Linked DNA regions of Diceros bicornis minor. The protein of the gene in region 1 purifies or fractionates together with the protein of each later gene. This does not show direct contact. Links are inferred from orthologs where the notes say so. Each region holds a gene or a part of one and is shown on either strand. Other genes may lie near its edges. The genes, in order: GNG8 and GNB5.

Evidence for each region.
Region 2: the proteins of GNG8 (region 1) and GNB5 purify together in Homo sapiens (co-immunoprecipitation; 3 studies listed by BioGRID and IntAct, with this or other methods). This does not show direct contact. The link is inferred for Diceros bicornis minor from reciprocal best matches to the Homo sapiens genes GNG8 and GNB5.

Annotation. Positions count from the first base shown.
Region 1 is NC_080773.1:22,192,265-22,203,600, forward strand, and holds GNG8 (guanine nucleotide-binding protein G(I)/G(S)/G(O) subunit gamma-8), read right to left. Parts: upstream 3,497-11,336; coding exon 3,413-3,496; intron 2,770-3,412; coding exon 2,641-2,769; 3' UTR 2,567-2,640; downstream 1-2,566. UniProt on the Homo sapiens protein: Guanine nucleotide-binding proteins (G proteins) are involved as a modulator or transducer in various transmembrane signaling systems.
Region 2 is NC_080744.1:48,137,370-48,150,666, reverse strand, and holds the start of GNB5 (guanine nucleotide-binding protein subunit beta-5), read left to right. Parts: upstream 1-6,287; 5' UTR 6,288-6,348; coding exon 6,349-6,460; intron 6,461-13,297. UniProt on the Homo sapiens protein: Enhances GTPase-activating protein (GAP) activity of regulator of G protein signaling (RGS) proteins, such as RGS7 and RGS9, hence involved in the termination of the signaling initiated by the G protein coupled receptors (GPCRs) by accelerating the GTP hydrolysis on the G-alpha subunits, thereby promoting their inactivation.

The DNA.
Region 1 (11,336 bases):
TCCTCTGTCTGGCGGGGGCCCTCACCTTGGACACCCTCACGTCCATCCTTCAAGCCCCCCGAACACATCCAGCCCTCCTGCCCACTCATGCACTGGCTCCCACTGCAAACTCAAGCCCCAACTGGCCAGGAGGCGTCACCTCTCGTGCCTGTGTCTCATGTCTGCAAAATGGGGATAAGCAGAGTCCCTTTGGCTATCGGAGAATTAAGTGAAATGTGAAATGAGACTCTTGATAAGAGAGGACCATGATGAATCCTCATTCTAGCTCTGGCCTACCCCTCCCCCAGACCCCCAGCCCCCCAGCCGTGCCAAGCACTGCTCTGAGCGTGTGGGGTGCAGATGGGAGACAGCCTTGGAGGGGCGGCCAACGCCCTCAGGGTTTGGGGTAAAGTGGGAGGGGACCACTGAGGGCGCTCACCTCTCTGCCTCTTGGCCTGGCTCTGACCCCAGAGACCTCATGGCTGGGGGTGGCAGGAAAGAGCAGCGGGCGACCAGAAGCTTGTGCTGCAGAGTCATACCCACTAACAAGGTTATCTGGGTTTGCATGCGTGGAGGCTGGTCACTCGGGACCTGCCCTGTCCCTCTGGCCTCTCCTCCCTCCCAGCCTCAGTCGTGACCAGGTCCAGGCTCGCTCAGCCCCCCTCCTCCCTCTCCCTCCTCCTCCAGGCAGACATGTCCTCTGGCCGCCCTTCCTTCCCCACATCAGGTCAGCCAGCTCTGCTTGCTCCTCCTTGGATTCCATTCCTCAAGACCAGGAAGGCGCAGGAGGAGGAATCTATGCTACCCCGCCCCAAGACCCCAGGGCTGACAGGGTCCCACTCCCACAGTCCGGGATTTAAGTGCCGAGCTCCGGGTCCTAGCTGGACAAGGCCGCAGGACCCCAGAATCCTGGCCCCACAGGATTGAAGGACTCCAGAATTCCAGCCCTCCAAGGTCCTGGAATTCTAGATTCCTTTGCATTTCAGGTTCTAGGGTGCTGGGCCTGAGAAATTCCAGAATCCTTCCGGCAACTTCCCTCCCAGCCTCCCTGCCCCCCAGCTCATCCTTGGCTCTCTCTGTCCCCCTCTCTCCCCCGGGGCTCCCCCAGACATGATGCAACTAGGTCGGAGCCAGCTGAGAGGTGGGAGGCAGGAGAGAGATGTAATTACAGCTGCTCCTGATCAATGCAACAGGAAGCTCAGAGTGGGGACCCAGGGGACCCTAATCCGATGTGAATAATGGAGCACTTGCCAGACGCATGCACAGCCCCCTCTGGGGAGGGGAGGCCTGGTGAGCCGGCTCCATCCAAACCCAGGGGTCCAGCCTCAGTCAGCCCCAAGCTGGGGAGCAGAGGTGTTAGTCTTGAGAGAAGAGGAGGTGGGGGTGAGGAGAGGGGACAGGGTCGCGAACTCAGAGGCCCTCAGGCCAACCAGGTAAAATAATTAACCAAACCCACAGCTCACCCAGTCTGCATTTCCTCATTTTCAACAGACGTGACACTTTTCTCCTCATTCCACCCTAAGAAGCCCCCAACACGGGCTCCATGATAAATAACAACTGGCCCTCAGCCTCCTGAACCGGGAGACAATACGGTACGGTGGGGCCTTGGGTGAGCTGGAAAGTCCAGGTCCCATCTCATAGCCTATGGTCACCCTGTGGGGCTGTGCAGGTCTGAGGTCACCAGACTTTCCAATTCGGGAGAAGCTAGAAATAGGGACTTTTATATGATGTACTCCTATTTTTCAATCTGGCAACCAAGTCAAGAACATTTTTAAACATTATGTAGGCCAAAAGAAGAGAACCAAAAAAATATAACTGCAGGCTATCTATGTTCCGTAGGCCACCAATATGTGAAGTGGAAAACATAGGGCCAGTAACCGGAGCTGTCACAGTCACCCCGGTGTCCCCAGGACAAAGAAAATTATTGTTGAAGGAAGAAATGTACCCATTAATTTGTCTCTACCTCTAGCCAAGCTTCTCTCTTCTCCGGGTCCCCAAGTTTTATTACCACCATGTTCCAGCTTAGATGTCCCCTCCTCCAGGAAGCCCTCTATGCTGAGTCAGGCACTCCCTCTGAGCTCCCCCACCCCAGCCCTGCCCACTCGGGGTGTCACTATCTGGGGACAGATCTGTCTCTCCCACTGGATTCTGAGCCCCAGGAGGACAGCAGCAGGGCTGTCCCCATCACAGCCATATCCCTAGCTTCACCCAGCACAGGGTGGGTCACAGAGTAGGTACTCAGGGAGTACTTGGAAGAAGGAATAAATGAACAGAGTTCAGTGCTTAAAGACAGAGGTAGCCCTGCAGCAGGCGGCAGCCAGATGGGAAAAAAGGGGGTCCTGTCATTCAGGGGATGAGAAAAGTGGGACCGGCACCCGGGCTCCCAGGAGTCTCCAGCCCAGGACTGAGCAGAGGAGCGAGGCCAGCTGAGGGTTCCGACAGCGCTGGAGTCCACAGTCTTCACCCCATTACCTCCTGGGTGCCAACACACCCAGCATATCCTCACCCCCACCCCTCCACATCCCACACGCACTCAGAAGGAATGAGAAGGAACACAAATCTGCGCATGCCTCAGTTTCCCCCGAAAGCACGGGTACCACCAGAGTCACCACGTTTATTGGTTTCATACTGTGGCAGGGGAAGGTAAGCTGTCGGGAAGGCTCAGAGCAGGACGCAGAAGAGGCGCTTGTCACGGAAGGGGTTCTCTGCGGCGGGCACCGGCGTCACCAGCGGGTCATCTTTGGCGTGCGTCTCGCAGAACGAGAGGAGCTCGGCCGCCGCCTGCGACACCTGCGGGCGCCCGGGATAAGTCCACGCCCCGCCCCGAGGCCCCGCCCCCGGGCCCCTCCAGGCCTGCTCCTGTCCCGGCTCCGCCCCTTTCCCGGTTCCGCCCCAGGGCCCCGCCCCGGGCCCGCCCCTTACCAGGCTCCGCCCCTGTCCGGGCTCCCTCCTCTCGCCCGGCCCCGCCCCATCCCAAGGCCCCGCCCCCGGCCCGCCGCTTATCAGGCTCCGCCCCCGTCCGGGCTCCCTCCCCTCGCCCGGCCCCGCCCCATCCCAAGGCCCCGCCCCCGGCCCGCCCCTTATCAGGCTCCGCCCCTTTCCGGGAGCCCTTCCCTCGCCCGGCCCCGCCCCGTGCCCCGCCCCAGGCCCACCCCGTACCAGGCTCCGCCCCTGTCCGGGCGCCCTGCCCTCGCCCGGCCCCGCCCCGGGCCCCGCCCCGGGCCCGCCGCTTATCAGGCTCCGCCCCTGTCCGGGCTCCCTCCCCTCGCCCGGCACCGCCCCGTCCCAAGGCCCCTCCCCCGGGCCCCGCCCCGGGTCCAGCCCTGTTGGGAACAGGATCTTCCCACTGCGGCTCCGGGCTCCACCCCCAACCCCGCCCTGTCCACACCCTGGCCCCGGAGCCCCCGCCTTCCTCCCCACCCTGACCCGGCACCTTCATGCGGTCGATGTTCACCTCCAGCTTCAGCTGTTCCACCGTCTTGCGGGCCTCGGCGATCTTGGCCATGTTGTTGGACATGGCTGCGGCGGAGAAGGGGTTAAAAGCCGGGCGGGAGTGGGCGTTGAGGGGGTGGGCTAGGGCAAGTCTGGGTCCCCAGGTAAGGGTGGCGGTGGTGGTGGGCCCCAGTAACAGGGGCGTGGGTGGAAGGGCGCACGGATGGGGTGCCCAGAGGCAGGTGCAGAGAGGGACAGGAAAACAGAGGGAAAAGGGGAGGGGTGAAGAGACGCACAGATGAGGGCCCAAGAGGCAGGCCGAAGGAGGGACAGTTGAACAGGGACGAGAGGGGCAAGAGGAGGGCTGGAGGGGTGCACAAATGGGGTACCTAGAGGCAGGTGGAGGAACAGAGAGGGGCGAGGGAAGGCAGGAGGGAAGCACAGATGGGAGGCTGAGAGGCAGGTGGAGAGGGAGACAGAGGGACAGGGCCACAGGTGCTGGGTGAGGACCCAGGTGTCCTGGGCCCCCGGGGATAGAGCATGAGCCAGGAGGGGGCCCCTCCCCAGGCCAATTAGCGGCGGCTCCAGGGAGAACAAAGAATTAAGATCGCCGCGGGAGGGGCGCAGAGGGGGCCTCATTAGGGCCTTGGCAGCAGCTGCCCCCTCCACCTCCTTCGGGGGCCCCCCCACCCCAGACCTGGCCACCTCAAAGGCTCCTCTGCTCATTAGTAGCCGGAGAGAGGGCTGGGGGGACCCGGGGGGGGCCACACCGGCCATGACTGGGAGAGGGGAAGAGAGGATGGAGAGAGAGACAAACGGAAGGGCAGAGACAAAGTGACAGAGGGAGAGACTGAGGCACGGGGGAAAATAAAGAGACTGAGGAGGGTGAAGGAGAGATGGAGAGATGGGGGAGGGATGAAGTGATGGAGGGAGTAGAGGGAGGGACAAATAGAGAGGCAAAGGAAGGGACTGATGATAGAGGGGATGGAGGCACGGGGGGACAAAGTGACAGAGGGGGACAGAGAAGGGGAGCTGGAGGGGTGCAGGAGGGATGGGGTGGGAGAGGACAGAGAGGGACAAATGGAGGAGTAGAGGAAGGGACCGGATAGAGGGCGAGAGAGAGGCACAGGGGGATACAGCAACAGAGGAGAGAAGGAGCAGGGGACAGACAGAGGGAGATGGAGGGGCTGGGGGAGAGCCAGGCAGATGGAGACGCAGAGGTATAAAGTCATTCATTCGCTCATGCATTCGTTCATTCCCAGGCGGACAGACTGTGGCCGGATGGGCAGAGGGACTAGCTGTTGGGGTAGGACTGGAGCCTCCTACCTGTTGCGACTCAGGGCTGGGATGGCGGGCGGGTGGCAGAGGCTGGGAGGCAGCGTCTGGGTCCCCTGTCCCCAGCCCCGCCCCGCCCCCTCCCCCAGGGCGCAGCCCCTGAGGACCCGCCTCCTCCCTCCACCACCACTGGGTCTGTCTCTCTGGGTCCTCTCTCTATGTCTGTCCGTCCCCCTCTTCGTCTTTCTGTTTCTGTGTCTCTGTCTCCTGTGTTGTCTGTGTCTCTCTCTCTCTCTCCCAGTCTCCCCTAGCCATCTCTCTCTATCCCTGTCTCTGTCTCACATACAAACACAGACACACAAAGACACAGTCTCTCAAGGCGTGCCCCACACCCTGCTGCACTTATTGCACAGTCACACAAATCTCTCCTGTGTGTCCCACATGGGCTCTCACTCCGTCACACATGCTCTCCCACCCTGTCACACCCACCACCTCAGTGTCACCCAGCTCAGACGACCCCTCTCAGCACACAGACTCACACTCGCCGTCCCTCACACAGAGATGCACAGTATCTCGCTGGGGCACCCAGTGTTGCGACACAGTCTCACAATCAACCTGTGCTCAACACACAACCTCCCACAGCGCCACAGTCACAGGGTCTCTCACAATGTCACTCGTGGTCCCTCACCATCTTTCATAGCATGGCACATCATCACCAATGACGTCTTGCACAACCACAGTCAGATATACCATCTCAGGGTGTCAAATGTACAAACAGTGTCACACACAATCTCTCAAGGTGTCACACACATTTACATGAATTGAGACTTCAAACCTCTTTGTCAAGCACTGTCACACAATATTTTGTAGTCTTACACAGCAACACACAGTCTCACATCCACTGACTCCCACATACAGCCACGCTCATTCTTGCACAATCTCCCGCTGTCACACACAATCTTACACACATTCCCTCACACACAGTCTGTCCCACCACACACACTGTCGTGTACAGAATCTCTTGCTGAGCCTCACGCAGTCTGTCGCACACAGCTGTCACCCTCACACAGCAATCTCGAGTGTTGCACACTTACACACACATGGTCTCTCTTGTACTCTGAGCTCTGAGTGCCCTGCACAGTCACACACTCTCTCACGCACTGTCACAACAGTGTGTCTCTCAGTAGCCCACACGATCTGTGTCACACATTGTCACACACAGTGTGTCACAGTTCATCAGTGTGGCTGACACGTACTCACACAGTCTCTCTGTCACACCCAGTCCCCCCAGCCTCTCACACTGCCTTCTTGGTGTATCACATTCATTCAGTCTCACTCTCTCTCACACATCACCTGTTTGTGTGACACACACAGCGCTCTTGTCCTCACCATGTTGCACACTCACAATCTCTCACTCTCACATATGGTCTCTGCATGTCACAGAGTCCCCCAAATAGTGTCTCAGGTACATGCAAACTCAGTGTCACACACAGTCCCCTATACATCATCTCTCTCATCTCACATACAGTCACACACACATCCTCTCGGTGTAACACACGATTTCCCACAGTCACACCCAATCTCTGTCACACAAAATCTCACAAGGTCACACAGCAGCACACAACCTCTGGCGTCACGCACAATCTCACAGTGGTACGCACTCACACCGTCTCTTGGGGTTACACACCATCTCCCGGGGTCACCCACGGGCACCCACAGTGTCCCTCCTGCACGGGGCACAGCCTTCGGGAGCGCACACTCAGCTCTCTGGCCTCTCTGGACAGCCCCGGTCAGCCACACGGGGGCGCCCGCGGCCCGCCGAGCCGCCCACCCCGCCGGCGCGGAGGCCGTAGGGATGGGTGGGAACCGGGAGGGCCAGGCGCCCCCGCGCGGGCCGGCCGGGGATGCAGGCAGCGGAGAGAGAAACAGAGAGAGGCGGAGGGGACTGGAGGGAGAGCACTGAAGATGGACTGGGACACAGAGAAATTCCGAGAGAGGCGGAGATGCAGGCAGAGACAGAGAGCCGCAGAGACAGAGGGGCACAGAGACGGAAATTTGGAGAGAGAGAGACCTAGGCACTCAGAGAGACAGAGACAGAGGATTGCAGAGAGAGACACAGAGACATGCAGGGGGCAGGAGAGACACACAGAGTCAGAGGCAGGGACCGAGAAACACAGACACCCAGAGACAGAGATAGACGCGGGCAGAGAGACAGACACGCAGACCCAGCCTTCCGCAGGGGACCTGTCGGCAGAGGCGCGTCCCAGGGGCGTGGCCGGGGGCGCGGGCCCGCGTTCGAAGGGGCGTGGTCCGGGGGCGGGGTTTATCAGGGGCGTGTCCAGGGGCGGGCTGTTAGGGGCGGGGCCTGGGTGCGGCGTGCCCCGAGGGGCGGGTCTTGGGGCTGGATCCCAACAAGGCCACCCGAGCCCGCTGCGGGGGGGGCGGAGGCTGAAGCACTGGGAAGAGGTGGAGGTGGGGGAGGAGCGTCTCTACCGCAGTCTGCCCATCCCAGTTCGGTTTTTACCGCCTGGACAGGGAAGGGAGACAGGCAGGGAGGGGACACCGGCCTGGGTCCTTAGTAGCGATTTGATAGGGGGGTATTGGACCCTGGCTCCCCTCCCCCGTCCATCGCAGGAGAATCAGGGCCAGGTGGGGGAGGGGAACCAGGCTCACATCTGGAAAGCATCAGGCGCGCCGGACGTGCCAGGGCCCGGGGCCCGGCTGCGGAAGGGGGTAGGGAAGCTGGGGCGCCCTCGTCCCCCCCCCCACCCAGCGGGGTCTGCCGGCGCCGGGGAGGGGCCTGGGCGTGCGCCGAGCCTGGGCGCCTCCTGCAGCTGGTTTCCATCAGCAGTTTTGGCCTGGGCGGCCCTCGAGGAGGAAACCCAGCCTAAGCGAGGGAAGACAGGGTGACGACCCAATCTCCCCTCCTCCTCCCCGACGGCAGCCGGAGGCTGGGAGGCGGGGGAGACGGATGGACGACACTGCCTGAACCCAGCGTAACCTCCATTTCTCTGCCGACCTGCGGGCCTCGGCCGTCTGTCCACCCTACGCATAACCTTAGTTTCCAGGTGTGCAGTCCTGCCCCGTGCTGCACAAGAATCGCCCCAGCCTGCTGACAACCTGGTAGTCAGTGGAAGTATTGTCCCCATTTTTTGGAGGGGGCAACTGGGACCCTGGATTCGGATTCAGTCCTGGCTTTAATTATTCAAGAAACGTGCAATGAACGCCAACTAATGCTAGGATCCGGCTCGAATACCCAATCCCTACTGAATAGTCCCACCTGGAATATTATACGGAAGCAACCTAAGTGTCCATCAGTGGATGAATGGATAAAGAAGATGTGATATATATATATGCCTGGTGGGTATCTTAAACTCAAGGCGTCCGAAACTGAGGTCCTGATTCCACCCACCGAACCCTCTCCTACCGCAGTCTTACCTGTCTCAGTTGATAGAGAATCTTCGGGTCATTCTTGACTCTCCTCCCTCTCTTGCACCCCAGAACTGATCTAGTAACAAATCCCATTAACTCCATCTTCAAAGTCTCTCCACAATCCAGTCGCTTCCTACCTCCTCTGCTCCAGCACTCCGGTCCAGCCACCACGCTCTCCTGCCTCACTGTTACAGTCACTCCTCACTGGGTTCCCAGCTTCTACCTCTGTCTCCTTCAGCCTGGTCCCCAGAGAGCAGCCAGAGGGACCCTGTTTGAAACAAAGTCCCCAAATAATAGCAAGTGTTGGTGAGGAGGTGGAGAAATCGGAACCCTCAAACACTGTTGGTGGGAATGTAAAATGGTGCAACCACTTCAGGAAGCAGTCTGGCAGTTCCCGAAAAGGTTAAACAGTTACCACGGGACCCAGTGATTCCACTCCTAAATGTCTACCTAAGAGAAATGAAAACATACGTCCACACAAAAACTTGTACATGAATGTCCACAGCAGCGTTATTCATAATAGCCTGAAAATGGAAACAACCCAAGTGTCCATCAACTCTTGAGTGGATAAACCAAATGTGGTAGATCCAAACAGTGGATTATCCTGTGGCAATAAAAAGAAGTGAAGTATGGACACAGGCTACAACGTGGATGAACTTTGAAAACATGATGCTAAGTGAAAAAAGTCAGTCACAAAAGACTACATATTCATGAGTCCATTTATATGTCCAGAATAGGCAAATCTATAGAGACCAAAGTAAATTAGTGGTTGCCAGGGGCAGGGGAGCTTGGAAGATGAAAGCTAAGGGGTGCAGAGTTTCTATTTGGGGTGGTGGAAATGTTCTGAAATTTCCTCTGCTGGTAGTTGCACAACTGGGTGACTATACTAAAAGCCATTGATAAGACAGCGATGAAAGAAATTGAAGGAGACACAAATAAATGGAAGATATTCTCTGCTCTTGGATTGGAAGAATTAATATTGTTAAAATGTCCATACTACCCAAAGCAATCTACAGATTCAATGCAATCCCAATCAAAATTCCAATGGCATTTTTCACAGAAATAGAACAAACAATCCCAAAATTTGTATGGAACCACAAAAGACCCTGAATAGCCAAAGCAATCTTGACAAAGAAGAACAAAGCTGGAGGCATCAAACTCCCTGATTTCAAACTATATTACAAAGCTATAGTCATCAAAACAGTATGGTACTGGCATAAAAACAGACACATAGATCAATGAAACAGAATAGAGGGCCCAGAAAAAAACCACACATCTATGGACAGCTAATCTTCAACAAAGAAGCCAAGAATACACAATGAGGAAAGGACTGTCCAATAACTGGTTTTGGGAAAACTGGACAGTCACATGCAAAAGAATGAAACTGGACCATTATCTTACACCATACACAAAAATCAACTCAAAATGGATTAAAGACTTGAATGTAAGCCCTGAAACCATAAAACTCCTAGAAGAAAACATAGGTGGTAAGCTCCTTGACATTGGTCTTGGCAATGATTTTTTTGGATTTGACACCAAAACAAAAGCAACAACAGCAAAACTAAACAAGTAGGGCTACATCCAACTAAAAGGCTTCTGCAGAGCAAAAGAAGCCATCAACAAAATGAAAGGCAACCTACTGACTGGGAGAAAATATTTGCAAATCATATATCTGATAAGGGATTAATATCCAAAACATATAAAGAATTCATACAACTCAATAGCAAAAGAACAAACAATCTGATTTAAAAAACGGGCAAAGGACCTGAATCGACATTTTTCCAAAGAAGACAGAGATAGCCAACAGGTACCTGAAAAGATGCTCAGCATCACTAGTCATCAGAGAAATGGAAATCAAAACCACAATGAGCTATCACCTCACACCTGTCAGAATGGCTATTCTTGAAAAGACAAGAGATAAGTGTTGGTGAGGATGTGGAAAAAAGGGAACCCTTGTGTACTGTTGGTGGGAATGTAAATTGGTGCAGCCACTATGGAAAACGGTATGGAGGTTCCTCAAAAAATGAGAAATAGAACTACCATATGATCCAGCAATTCCACTCTTGGGTATTTATTGAAAGAAAACAAAAAGCACTAACTCAAAAAGATACACGCACCTCTATATGCATTGCAGCAGTATTTATAACAGCCAAGATATGGAAGCAAGCTAAGTGTCCATCAATGGATGAATGGATAAAGACGTGGTATATGTATACAATGGAATATTATTCAGCCATAAAAAGGAAGGAAATCTTGCCATTTGCGACAACACGGATGGACCTTGAGGGCATTCTGCTAAGTGAAATAAGTCAGATGGAGAAAGAAAAATACTGTATGATCTCACTTATATGTGGAATCTTAAAAAAAGGAAAAAAACCCGACCATAGACACAGAGAACAGATTGGTAGTTGCCAGACGCGGGGGATGGAGGATGGGCAAAATGCGTGTAGGCCATCAAAAGGTACAAACTTCCAGTTATAAAATAAATGTCATAGGGATGTAATATACGCCATAGTGACTGTAGTTAATAATTTTGTTACTGTATTGCATATTTGAAAGTTGCTGAGAAAGTAGATCTTAAAAATTCTCATCACAAGAAAAAAAATTTTTTTGAAAAAAAGGCATTGAACTCTATACTATTTTATATGAATGAATTTTATGGTACGTGAATTATATCTTAATAGAGCTGTAACCCCCTCCCCCCCCCAAAAAAAACCTAAGTCCCTCTTCTGCTCAGAATTCTCCCATGGATCCCACTTCCCTTGGAATAAAAATCAAAATCCCCCACCAGGGCCCCGCATGATGTGGTGGTCCCTACCATTTTCTGTCCTCACCCCTACTCCCCCCCTCACTCACTGCTCCAGACACGCTGGACTCCTAGTTATTTTGCCAAGAAACCAGGCACTGTTTTGGCCTCAGGGCCTTTGCACTGGCTGACCCCTCTGCCTGAGATGCTCTTCCCCAACCTATCCACAAGTCTCACTCCTTCAGGTCTCTGTGCAAATGCCACCTTCATAATTAGACCATCCCTGATCACTCTACTTGAAATCACAAACTCCCTGCTCCCTCATCCTACCCTATTCCCTCAGACCTCTGCTGTTTTTCCCCATTGTCCTTATCATCTTTAAAAAATTATGGAATTTATTTATTATGTCAACACCCCCACCCCCCAGCTCCATCCCTGTGACCAGTTCCTTGTGCATCCTTCTAGAGATAAT
Region 2 (13,297 bases), on another chromosome or scaffold:
ATATTGGAAGAAAGTATGCTAACAGGTCAGTTATTTGTTGGCACAGGAATAATTTTCCTTCTTCATGTTCTTCTGTTTCCACTTATTTACAATGAACATGTGCAGCTTTTATAATTTGAAAAAAAATTAAAATTCAGTCTGGGAAGGAAAACGTTGTCTCTATTCAGATTTGGCATATCGACAATTTGTTTCCACTTCTCTTTTTCTTGATCTCCCACAACTCCCAGCCATCCTTCTGTTCCTTCTCCACTTGGTCCCTGGGGCTCCTCTTCCCTTCCGTTCCTGCAGCTGCTGCTCTCTCCAGAGCTCATCTCCTCCTCCCCAGAACATAACAACAATCTCTTAGCCTAGTTGATGTTCCTGCTGCACATTCTCTCTCTGACCCACTTCTGGAAGCGCAAATGCTGGAATAATCCACTTGAATACCCATGGCTCACCTTCCTAATGCTATTACTTGGAGACCCCAGCACGGCCTAAGGTCGGTCGGGCTGCCTTGGCAGGCTCAGGAGGGGAGGGGCAACGTGACAGAGCCCCCGCCACGGGCCGGGCTCTGTGCGCAGGCCCTTTTGTGCTGGTTAACTCGCTTGCTGGGACAAAGCTGAGCAACTTGATCGTGCTGCTCCACAGTAAGGGTTGCTGAGTTTCGCTACCTACAGGTTCAGGCTCCACCGCCGACCTTGAACTAGTTGTTTAATCCCTCGACTTTTCCTCAGCAGTAACACAGATGTCCTGCCTCCCCGCTGCCAGGGTGGCTGTGAGAGTTCAGGGCCGAGCGCTCCACGGTGGTCAGTAGCTGGTTCCCTTCTGATCTCTCATGCCTAAAGGACTGCCCTCTACTCCTTTGTCACCTAGTGATCTCAAGAACTATGCCAGCTGCCCCTTTGCTGTAGGAGTTCAACCCAGTTCATGAGCTCCCCATTCTCTCTCCAGCTCCACGGTGACCTCTGCAGTGTGGACATTCCCTCTCAGAGGTGTCCCCACTGCCCTCTCCTCCACAAATACATCCCTTTCAAATTTGGCTCTGTTGAAATATTCAGACCAGCGCTCCAAAAAAACTCAGAGGGTCATTTCTTTGAACCTTGACAGGGCCCGCTCTTTGGAACGCCTATTAAATTGGTACGGCTACAAAGTCTTCTCCCTCCCACCTAAACCTCCTCGTCCTCCATCTCTAGCAGTCGCACCACAGCCCCTCAGCCTCCCAAACAGAAATCTAGGAGACATAGACATCTCTGTCCCCTCGTTCCCGCATGTCGCCAAGTCCAGCTCCTCCTCCTCCTTCATAAGTGTGGTCCAAATCCATCCCACAGCGTTGCTTTAGTTCAGGCCTTCATTGTGTCTTGCCTGACCTGTGGCCATAGGCTCTTCTCTGCTCTTGCTGCATCTCTGGCCTCATCCCCCTTCCCTCCCCTCCTTCCTGCTGCTGCTGTGGCAGCCACTCACAGGGCAGCATAACATCTATGGAGCATTCAGTATATTCCGGCCTTGACCTAAGTGCTCTACGCACTCTCTCTCATAATTCGCCTGACAACCCTATGATGGTAGGTTTTAAGATCCTCATTTGATAGATTAGCAAACAAAGATTCAAAGAGGTCGAGTAACCTGCCTAAGCAGCGCGACCCGGACCCAGTCAGCCAGAGCCAGTACCCTTCTCCACTAGATGGTTTTGCTTCCTCAAGTTTGCGCTCCCTTCTGTGGCCTGGGCCTGTCTGTTGACTTCTGGGTGGACAGGCAGGGACTCTGGGTGTATGGCTGTTAAATGTTTAATAAACGGGATGCGTTCCTTGCAGGGAACCAACACCGCATTTACCTGGCCTCGTGGCATTGGTCGGGGTCAGGCTCCACTATTTTCTGGCTCTTGTTTTTACTCCAAAATTCACCCTGAGAGGAGGAATTTTTTTTTTTAAGTTTTAAATTATAGTATCCATTACAATGACACTGTCCACTGTGAAGCCCCACGGGATTAATATTGTGCTGCAAAGATCAATTGTGACCGAGTCTGCAAGCTGCCAAAAACCGGTTAAACATGAGTTCAGAAAACCTACTGTCTGACTCTTTCTTACTGATTAAATAAGTGAGTTGGGGTTGACCTAGCATGTTATAATAAATCACAGGTTACAAATTAACCATATATTCTTTATCCCACATGTAGGAGTTGGAGTAACTACGTGATAAAGGAAGATGAGGTTTTACAAAGCTGTTTCTGTTGGCTTTTCTCTCTCACACATACCTTTTTTTTCTCTCTCCCTTTCTCTTGCAGCTTCATCTTGGGTAAAAGATGTGTGATCAGACCTTTCTAGTTAATGTATTTGGCTCCTGTGACAAATGTTTCAAACAAAGGGCTCTGAGATCGGTTTTCAAGAAATCTCAGCAGTTCAGCTACTGTTCAATATGTGCAGAAATTGTAAGTGCCACTTTTTAAAAATTTAAGTAGTTACCTGTCTTACAACGATATCTAAGGTGAGGGTCCTGTGACAGACGAGTTGCCGTAGAATCAGTTTACACACAAACATTTTCAGCACACCTGGGCTAGGTGGGCCAGCAGACCATGCGGGTTTAGGGTGTGGACTCTGGTCTCTGATCGCCTAAGTTCAAATCCTAGTTATGTTGTTAGGTGATGGTATGCCAACAGATCTTGCCTCTCTCAAGAGATCTGTATTCCCATCTGTAAAAGAGGAAAAACAGCATCTATCTCACAGGGTTTTGTGAGGATCAAATGAGTTCATTTGATAAAGTGTTTAAAACAGTATGGTGCACAGGAAGTGCTCAATGAATGTTTTAGCTATTATTATTTTTTAGCGCTAATGCTTTTTTCTTCTGTCTTCTACTAGTCTGCTTGGCAAGCAACCAAGCTAAAAGGGACTCTGAGAAATAAATAGCCTGGGAGCACCTTTCCAGTGGTCCTGTGCCAGCTGTCCCTAGGAACAGCTCTATTCAAGATCCAACCAGACAGGGCCTCAGTAGCGAGCAAAATTAAGCTCAGGGAAAAGTGCTCCTTGGGCCTAAGCCTTCAGCGAGGGCTAGGGACAGGACACAAATTCTGGCATTTGTCAAAGTACACAAATCAGTCCTCAACAGGCTATGCACAGTCTTCAGATCTAGCAGCAAAAAGGGCCACAGCATGGCTGAAGCCCTAGGAATTATTAGTCCTATCTCAGAGGATGTGCAAAGCAGTGCTCAGTAGCGCAGCTGAGTGGAGCCTCCACCTGGTCAAAAGCAGTAAAGCACTCTTCCCCAATAGCCCAATAGGAAATCCCCAATTATCAACACATTAAAAAAATACATATCAAAGGGAGGAAAGATGACATTTACATTTTATTCAACTGAAGAGGAAAGGCAATATTCATCCTCCTGGTCCCATTGTAACCCCTGACAGTGATTACATTTTAAAACGTTATTCCCATAAAACAAATGGCAGGTAGACAGGACAGGGTGACACACAGGCTAGTAATCACAGAGGTACAGAATAGTAATCCTGAGGTCTCAGGATTCAGGCTCAGGGAACGGGCTTCTACCTGCAGCACATTATGTTCTAAACTTGGTTCTGCAAATTCTCAAACTGAGGACATTCAGTTCTTAAAATAAATCTGCTTTTTGGTGGCCCTACCATCCTGGAGCAGTGCTAGTTATTAATCTAGCTCTTCTGTTTTTTAAACAACTTCCTGTGTGGACAGCAGGAGCCCAGAATGCCAGACATGGGGTCCTCTGAGGCATCATAGATTCTCAGCAGGTCAGAGGCCCTGCCTGGAGATACTCTTCAGGGGACTGTTGCCGGCTATCTCCACCACAGCACTTCCCAAATATTCAGACAGACGTCTTTGGCTGAGGAGACATCCAAATGACGGACAGCTGACCTTTTATCCAGGTGCTTGGGATTGTGTAGACACAGCCCCCAGGGGACCCTTTTCGTGAGTAGGGGCAACCCTGTACCTCCACCACCCCTGAAATCACCTTTTCTGATCTCCAGCTTCCTCACTTATGAAAAGTAGTGAACGCCAAAGTACAGGAAGGCACTTTGCAAACTTTTCCAGCCATTAAAAAGTTACATGGCCTCATCTCTAGATGGTAGACTCTCCAGATGGGAGGGTGTTTGGGGTTTATTTTACACAGAGAACCTCCAGAGGAGGGCACACAGCAGTGTGACACTCCACTCACCCCAGGTCTTCAGAGACAGGTAGACCCCGAGGCAGGCATACACACCCCATGATGGTCCAAGACGTGTCAGCCTGAGGAGAGGGGGAGAGGATGCTGCTTTGCCTGGGCCTTCTGAGATGACCCTGTGAGAAGCGTTCCCCGTGACCTAGTGTCTCATTTCAATGACTTCATGTGAATTGCTCAAGTGTATCAGGTAGCCTTAATAATAATAGCGAGCACATACTGTGTGCCATGCATTGCTCTGAATGCGCTACGTAGTCACTCTTGACAAGGACCCTGTGAGGAAGGTGTTATCTCCATTTACAGATGAGGAGCCTGAGACACAGAGAAGTTAAGTAAATCACTCAAGCCCACACAGCACAGCCAGGATTTGCCCCCAGGCAGTCTGATCTAGATAGAGCCGATGCTCTTAACCTTTTGCTCTACCAACTCTGAAACAGATCTAATGTTTTTGCTTTTGTAAATGGTTGAATGTATCTAGAACATTTATATATTTTGTATCTCATTTTATATGTTTTATTTTTAATTATATATTTCATATATATTTACATATTTTGTTTTATACATCCATTGAATAAACTAACATTAACTGAGCACCTGCTATATACCAGTCATTAGGCTAAACACTGAGGATAAATGATGAATAAACCTTATTGATGGGTGGGGAGAAGGGAACTGGCAGTTAATAAGCATCTGCTGCGATGGAGCAGTTGGCTAAGAGGTTCACGCATATCATCTGATTTAATTCTCATAACAGCCCTGTGAGGTAGACGCCATGAAGTAGATTTTCTAGATGGGGAAACTGAGGAGCTCAGAATCTAACCTCCCAGACAACTATGTGTAGACTAATATAGATTACTTCCAACTTTTCTTAGATAGAGAGGGCCTACGACATGTCAAGGCTGGATTCCTCAAGAAGAAGGGGTACAAAGAGGGTGGGGATAGCACCCAAGAGTCTGCGTGGAGACGTTCACTTAAGCATTTGTAACCTCGATCTGCCTTCCCATTCTGTAGAGAAACACACGCGTGCCAGGTCATGGAGCTGGGAGGAGGGAGAAGCCATGGGTTGGGTCCTCCACGACGAAGTCCGGAGGCATGGAGCCGAATGGAGCCAGAAAGCCTGGGTCCAAATCCTCCCTTTGCCTCTTTCTGGGAGTGTGAACGGATTAAATCATTTAATCTTTCTGTGCCTCAGTTTCCTCATCTGTAAAATGGAGATGATAACAGTACCCATTGAGGGTGACAGTTGTGAGGATTAAAGGAGTTAATGTAAAGCACTGGGAACAGTGCCTGGCCCCGCAGGGGACTGGAAGAGGGGATGCTTGAGTCTGCCGTCAGTCACCACATTTGTGTCCTTGAGAGAACTGCAGCCGCCCTTCATTCTAAGGTGGGGGACGCTGCCTCACCAGTGACACGTCCGAGATCTCTGGACGTGGGCTTGGAAGCCCCGGGTCTGGTCCCCTGTGCACCCCTCACCCAGCCAGGGACTTAATTCCCGAGTGAAGAAAAGAAAAGCAAAAACCAAGAGCAGGCCTCCTAATGCCACAAAGACCCCAGAGCTTCTCGGAAGCCGGAACTAGTTTTATTTTTGTATATTTAAGTCAACCAAGGAGGAAAGTTTCCGGTTCGATGTCGGGGGAGCACCCGGGATCGGGCCGGGTGTCGTTGCCCTCTCCTCTCTCGTCCACTCTCTGCAGGTAGAAGCCACTGGCAGGGAATCAAGTCCCCGGCGGCGGGGGCGGGGGGGACTGTGTCACTGGGACTTCACCAGACTCCCAGGGGCCAGGCAGCCCTGGGTTGGAATCCCAGTTTGGCCCTTCACTACGTTAGCATCTTCCTGGCAAATCACGGATCATCTCTGAGCCTCGGTTTTCCCAGCGGTGAAATGGGCACGACGCTCCGTGCTTCTCCGGGGTGGTGTGCGCAGCGGCGCTAAGGCGGGCAGGGCCCGGGGTACTGCGCCAGGGCGCGCGCAGGAGGTGCCGGGGCGGGGGGCGCGGGGCGCGCGGGCGAGGCCGGCGCAGAGGGGGGGGATCGGCCGCCGCAGCCGGCTCGCGGCGGCCGCGTCAGCGCCGGAGGGCGGGGCGCGCTCGAGAGACGGCGGCTGGAGCTGCGCCCGCTCCCCGGCCGCGCCTCCGTCGCCCGCTCACCGCAGCCCGGCTCTCCGCTTCCCTCCCCGCCGCGTCCCCCGCGAAGATGGCAACCGACGGGCTGCACGAGAACGAGACGCTGGCGTCGCTGAAGAGCGAGGCCGAGAGCCTCAAGGGCAAACTGGAGGAGGAGCGGGCCAAGCTGCACGACGTGGAGCGTGAGTGCGGGCGGGGCGGGGGCTGCGCGCCGGGAGGCGGGCCGAGGAAACGAGACAGGCGCCCGGCTCCCGGAGGAGGGGGCGGCCCGGGCCCGGGGCGGGGGCCAGGCCTGCGCCGTTCCGGGGATGCGGGCCCCGGTGTCCGGCACCAGGTGAGGCGCGGGCAGCGGCCTGGGGGGTGTGGGGCCCGAGCTGGGCGGCCCTCGGAGGCTCCAGGCACCTTGCAGAGCCCCCGCCCGCCTCTGGGCGGGGGAGCCCGGTGGTGTCAGCCCCTGGCCTCTATCCTCCCGACGAAGGATCGTGGGACCGGTTACTGTCACCACTTTCCTGGAAGATGCAAACTGATCCCATCCCTGCCCTTCCCAGGCGGGGCGGGGTGGAGGGGGTGGCAGTGGTGGCCAGCGCAGCGAGCCCGTGTGCGCGAGGCCTAGGGTAGACTCCTGTTTTGTTTTTTAATCATTTGGCTTTCTCCGTCACTGCCGTGTCTTTTCTCACTTTTGCTTTTACAAGGAATCAGACTCTTTTTTTAAAAGCTAATTTTTCCAGTCTCCCCCTCTCCTGGTGGCTGCAGAACCGGATGGGGGAAGGGAAGCCGAGGAGCTTACCAAATTAACCATTTAGTTCATTGAAGGCTGTTTAAGAAGCTTTTTTGGATGGATGCAGTGTGATTGGCATAAAAGAGCAATAGCAATCTTGAATAAATTTACGTTGTTGACCACTACCATAGTTCAGAACCGGTCTGTGATTTTTAAGAGTGAACAGTTAAAAAGCCAGATTAAATAGCTCTTGGCGGGATCAGCTTCCCTTTGACCTGTCAGACGGTTCGTCCTCAGCAGAGCTTCGGTCCGGGCCAGGCTTGGGGAAGTGGCCTTGTCTGCTTACTTTTCAGCTCTGAGGCTCGCGGCTCCCCTTTCCGAGCACAGCCTCCCCGTAGTGCCCTCAGGTACACCTGTACATTGTGCTCCTGCCACTCCTACTTGGTACCACCCCCTTTAAATTGTGTTTGAAAGAGAAAAATGGGGTTCATGCTAGGTCCCTTACCACCTGGTTCCTTTCTTTGAAAATCACTTGAAAGAAGCAGATGACCTAATCTAGAGTATGCTGTGCTTTTATAGGGGCCTCCTCTAAATAGGAGGCACACTAAGCTCCTATGTCATTTAGAAATGTGTCCAGCTACAATTAACTATAAATCCCAAATAAAGGAGTTAAGCAGATTGAGAGTTATTTTTCTTACATAACAAGAACAAGGGTAGGCGATTGCCAGCGCTGGTTCAGCTGTCCAATGTGCCGTCAGGGACCCACACTCTTGTCTTTCTTCTCCACCACCCTGAGAGCGGTGGCATTTGCCCCATAATTATAATATGACTGCCACAGCTCAAGACATCACCTCTGTATCCAGGGCAGGAAGAAGGCGGAATGTGGACACCAACCTCTATTTCTCCTTCTTGTCAGGAAAGCAAAAGTTTTCCCCAGAATGTCCCTTACAGACTTCTGTTTGCACTTCATTAGCCAGAACTGGGCCACATGGCTACTGCAATGGAGACTGGGAAAGCGAGAACGGAGCTGGGCACATTGCCATCCCCAAACAGAGCTGGATTTCAGGGAGGAAGTAGGTAATGGATATTGGGAGGCATGGGACAGGGTCCGCCCCATTTCCCTTTACAAATTCCTACTCTCTGCAGCTGATAACGACAATGCTGTAAGCGTGGCATTAGTGCCTCTGAGGTAGGCCGTCTGATTTCTCCATTTTACAGATGAGGAAACTGAGGTACAGAGAGGTGAAACGACTTGCCGGAGGACCCCAGCTAGTAAGTGGTGGGACCAGGATTCCAGCCCAGCCTCAAGTCAGCTTTTCTGCAGAGCCCATTGTACTCTATGCAGAGGGCCTTCTCCAGAAACTCACGTACTCAGCAGTGGCAGGCTGCCCACTCAGATGTCTTTCAGCCTTTTCTGTGAATTGGTAAATTGCCTTAAGGCAGAGAGGTTGTCAAGATGCAGCTTTTCAACAGGGAACCCCTCTCCTGCCAAGGATGCAGTGCCCTCAGAGGCCAGGGCCAAATTTTGGACCCACAGTGGAAGGATCTATCCCCACCTGCATAAGTCAGAACTTTTGAATTGAAAAGACCTGGGGCCGGCCTGATGGCATAGTGGTCAAGTTCGCGCTCTCTGCTTCTGTGGCCCGGGGTTCACTGGTTCGGATCCTGGGCACGGACCTATGCACCACTCATCAAGCCATGGTGGCAGGTGTCCCATATATAAAGAGTAGAGGAAGATGGGCACGGATGTTAGCCCAGGACCAATCTTCCTCAGCAAAAAGAGGAGGATTGGCAACAGATGTTAGCTCAGGGCTAATCTTCCTCACCAGAAAAAAAAAAAAAAAAGACCGGAAGTCATGTGGTCATGTTCCCCTTTATTCCCCCTGCAGCTTCTGGACCACTTCTCCTCCATCCCCTCTTATCCTCCCCTCATGTAAAACCCTTGCTCCTTTGAAGTTCCCATTATTCAGCTGACCTACCTCTTCCCCCCTGTGTGCTGCTGTCTCCTGACCTCCCAGCCAGGCTCCCTCACTTCTTAAGGACTTTGGCACATGGCTTGAGCCTTCCTTTTGACCCTAAGCCCTGCCCCATCCCCGGTGTCTTCAGGGTCCACAAAGGTGACCCTCCTAACACGCTGGCCCCTCACTCCATCACAGCCCCCTGGGATCTTCTTAGCACTCAGAACTGCCCCTCCTCTGACTGCACTCTCTCCCACGGAGATGTCCATGATCCAGGATCACTGGGCTCTTCTCTCTTCCAGTCTCTCAGCCTCTCCCCGAGACTGCACATTTATGCATTTCGGTGTTGTCGTATAGACAGCCCTGTAGCCCCTCCCCTATTCGAGGAAACTTCTATAGGCCATAAGCTAAGGTGACTACATCATCTCGGTTTGCCCGGGACTCTGGGTTTTAAAATGGAAAGTCCTACATTCTGGGAAACCCTCAGTCCTGGGCAAACTGGAACAGTTGGTCAGCCTTCTGTTAGCTCTGACTTGCCCAAAGTCTTGCCTTTAGAAAGTCAACACAACAAAATTGTAGAGCATACACTTGGAGGAAAAGTGAGATTTTCCCAAGTCCAGACCCCCACTTCTTCAGCTCCCATCCCTTTGACCCTCAGACCAGCGTCTATTCTGTGGGGCCCTCATCCTGAAGTCAGACCCTTGGCTGACATTCAATACAGGAGTGGCTTAGACGGGTGGTCTACAGGGAAGCCAGCCTACGTCCCACTCCACAGCCCAGCCCCGCGCCCTGCCCCTGCCTTCCCCCTACTCCTCCAGCGCTTCCTGCTTCTCCCTGGAAACTTCCCCTGTCGCCTTCTGCTTACCTTCCACCAGGGGGAAGTGCTCCCCTGCGTGATTCTAAGGCATTTTAGAATCACTAGGTTGCAGCTTGTGTTAGTTTCCTGTTGCTGTTGTATGACTTCCCACAAGCATAGTGGCTTAAAGCAACATAAATTTATTCTCTTACAGTCCTGGAGGTCAGAGGTCTAAAATGGGTCAGCAGGGCTGCATTCCTTCTGGAGGCTTTGAGGGAGAGTTCATTCCTTGCCTTTTCCAGCTTCTGGAGGCTGCATTCCTTGGCTTATGGCCCCACATCACTCCAACCTCATTTCCATCATCACCTTTCCTTCTTTGACTCTGATCCCCCTGCCTCCCTGCTCTAAGGACCCTTGTAATTACATTGGGCCCGTCTGAAAAATCCAGGATAATCTTTCCATCTCCAGATCCTTAACTTAATCACGTCTGCAAAGTCCCTTTGCTTTGTAAGGTAGCATATTTGCGGGTTCCGGAGATTGAGATGTGGACATCTTTGGAGGGCCTATCACACAGGTCTTAAACCTGGAAAGGGCCACCTGCCTCAGCCTCAGTCTTCAGGCACAAAAAGTTTTCTTCTCTTCCCAACAACTCAACCCCTTTTCCTGTGGGATGAGGAAGCAGCTGAGATCCAAGGAAGGGTTTGGAGATTTCCCTAAGGTTATGCAGCCGCTGTAAAGGAGAATGGGGAGTAGACTCCAGGCTCCTAGTACAGCTCTCCCTCTGACCATGCCAGGCCACATCTCAGCAAGTTAAGATTTACATTTAAAAGGAAGAAAAGTAAATCTGTGTGTGTGTATACGAAAAGGTGTCAATATTAAGTAAAAAAAAAAAAAGAGAAAAAAGAAAAGTGCCAAACAGTGTATATAAAATGATCTTATTAGCTTAAACAAGAGATGCTTACATATGCATTAAATTTCTGGAAGGATACACAAGAAACTTGTCATCTCTAACAAGGGGTCCAGAGGGGTAGGGGGAAGCAGAGGTACTTTATATGCATCTGGGCATTTACTGCTTTTATAATAAAAAGGAAAAAATGGTCTGGGAGCAGCCAGAGCAGGAGGGCACCGTGTTCATTTCAGCCAGCATACACGGCAGCCTCGTGGGGCTTTATGGGGGCTTCATCCAGATTCCCAGCTCCTCCGTGGCAGATTCTAATGTTGTCTAGGAACGAAGCAACTCAAAGAAGATTTACGTAATTTCTCTAAGTACAAATCCAGACGAAGTTTGGGCAAGTGACAAGATTTATCATCAGATGCGATTCGCTTTTCTATCTGCTCCAGGTGTAACTTGGTGAAAGGTTTTATTCACAAAGGCTCTATGGCTGGAGCCTTGGACTCTTCTGATTTTATGATGTAGGGAGAAATCTAGAAAAGGCAAATTTCGGGATTAGTCTGAAGCAAGTGTGTTGATTCACTTTTTCCGTGTTCTAAGGAGATATGCCGTGTGTACTGAGGCTTAGAGAAGTGAGCTTCCCTACAGAGTAATCCACTTCCCAGCTGCCCCTCCACATGTCGCCCGCAGCCCTCAGAGGGAGCAGAGGGCAAACCGCCTCTCACGTCCCCTCCCTTCCCAATGCTCTGTGTTCGTAACTACACACGAGCCAGCTAGTGCAGGGGTCTCTACAATCCCATCATAATAAACTGCAGCCTACTGCAGTAGATTTAGAAACATAGAAGAAAATGTCATCCACGACCGCACCACTGAGTGGTAGCCACTTTAAATATTCTGATGTATTTCATAGCGTATGTTTTCAGGTTTGTGTATCTATTTGTAAGCATACTTGGGATTGTACTAGATACAGAGTTTGAGCCTAGTTGTAATTTAACATAATGGATTGAACAGCTCCCCATGTCATTATATGGTTCTTTTTAATGTCAATATTTAAAAATTATTATACAGAACCATATAGTATTCCGTCTTAAAGGCTGTACCATCACTTAACCTTTCCAACTTTTAGGGAAAGTTGCCCCTACCCTGCCTTTTTTTGGGAATTCAGGGCAGGATTTTTTGTTTGTGGTTAAGATAAGGTTTTAAGGCAATTCGAAAGTCTCTGACAAGCACCATTGAGGTAATGTGAGTGTAGATGTTTTCCTTCCATCCAGATGTTTCAGGGTTTTGTATTCTGCCTTGGGGTAGAATTGGACAGAATGAGTTTTTAGAAATTGGTTTTGGGAGCCAGCCCTATGGCCCAGTGGTTAAGTTTGGCGAGCTCTGCTTCAGCAGCCCGGGTTCGGTTCCTGGGCATGGACCTACACTACTGATCGGCGGCCAAGCTGTGGCAGCGACCCACATACAAAATGGAGGAAGAAGGGCACAGATGTTAGCTCAGGGCAAATCTTCCTCAGCAAAAAGAGAAAAAAAAAATTAGCTTTGGATCATTTTTCCTCGATTCCTTTGATCTTCTACCAAATGGTGGCCAACAAAAGGCTGTATATTAGTGCAAATATTAGACAGTGATTCAAGATCATTTTTTAAATAGTTGTATTTTCCTATTTAAGACATCTTACTTGTCTTTAAGACTTTGAACTTGTCTTCTGTATTTCCAGTCAGTTGCACAGTGTTCACGTTCAGGGAGATTTTAGGGCTTGTCCATGCTCAGGTCATTCTTTTGATGGTCTTGTGGAATGATGAGAAGGAGCCTGTTGCACATTTCCACTTTATGAATTTATATGGTTTGGATTCTTGTGTATTGACCTGCACACTACATATTTTACTTTAGGTTCCTGTGTGCACAGATTATAAAATAAATTGCAAAACCATTTCCTGAAAGTTGAGAGGAAGCCACATCTTGATGAAAAGTTCATCTTTGCCTGAAACCAGAATTGTAGCTTATTTCCAAGGCCCCATTTATATAAAACTCATTTTACAGAGGAGGGCACAAGCTCAGAGGAGACATTTGTCTACCACTAATTTATAAGTTGTGCCCTCCCCTCAGACCTCATTTTCCTTTTCTGAGTCGTGCTCAGCATGACTTGTTGAGTTGCTAAGTCTCTTCTGGCTCTAACTCAGCACCACTCTCCCAGCCAGGTGGTGGCTGAGCCAGGACCAGGGCAGGTTTCTTGACTCCTGGTCTACAGTCCTTAATTCTGACCCATTGCTCTGGTTACATCAGGAAGTGTGGGATCCAAGGGTGGGGTCTCCTACACTAAGAAGTCATTGCACTGCCTCCTAGTCCTTGACTTTCTAAAGAATTACAGCCACCTGCCCGGAGTTTACCAGCTATGGGAGGTATTTATCTGTTCTTAGGGTCCGAGTGTGTGTGCATAAGGTCCTTAGCCCCTCTGGGCTTCGGTTTCCTTTTCTGCAGAAATGGAGACAAAGCCTGGGTCCTCAGGCTGTGTATAAAGTTCTCAGCCCAGCACCTGTCACCCACGAGACATGCAATAAATGGTGGACATTGGCAACATGCATTGAAAGCCTTTAAAAATATGCTTTCCCTTTTACTCAGCAATGCCACAAATTGGAATTCATCTAAGGAGGTAACGC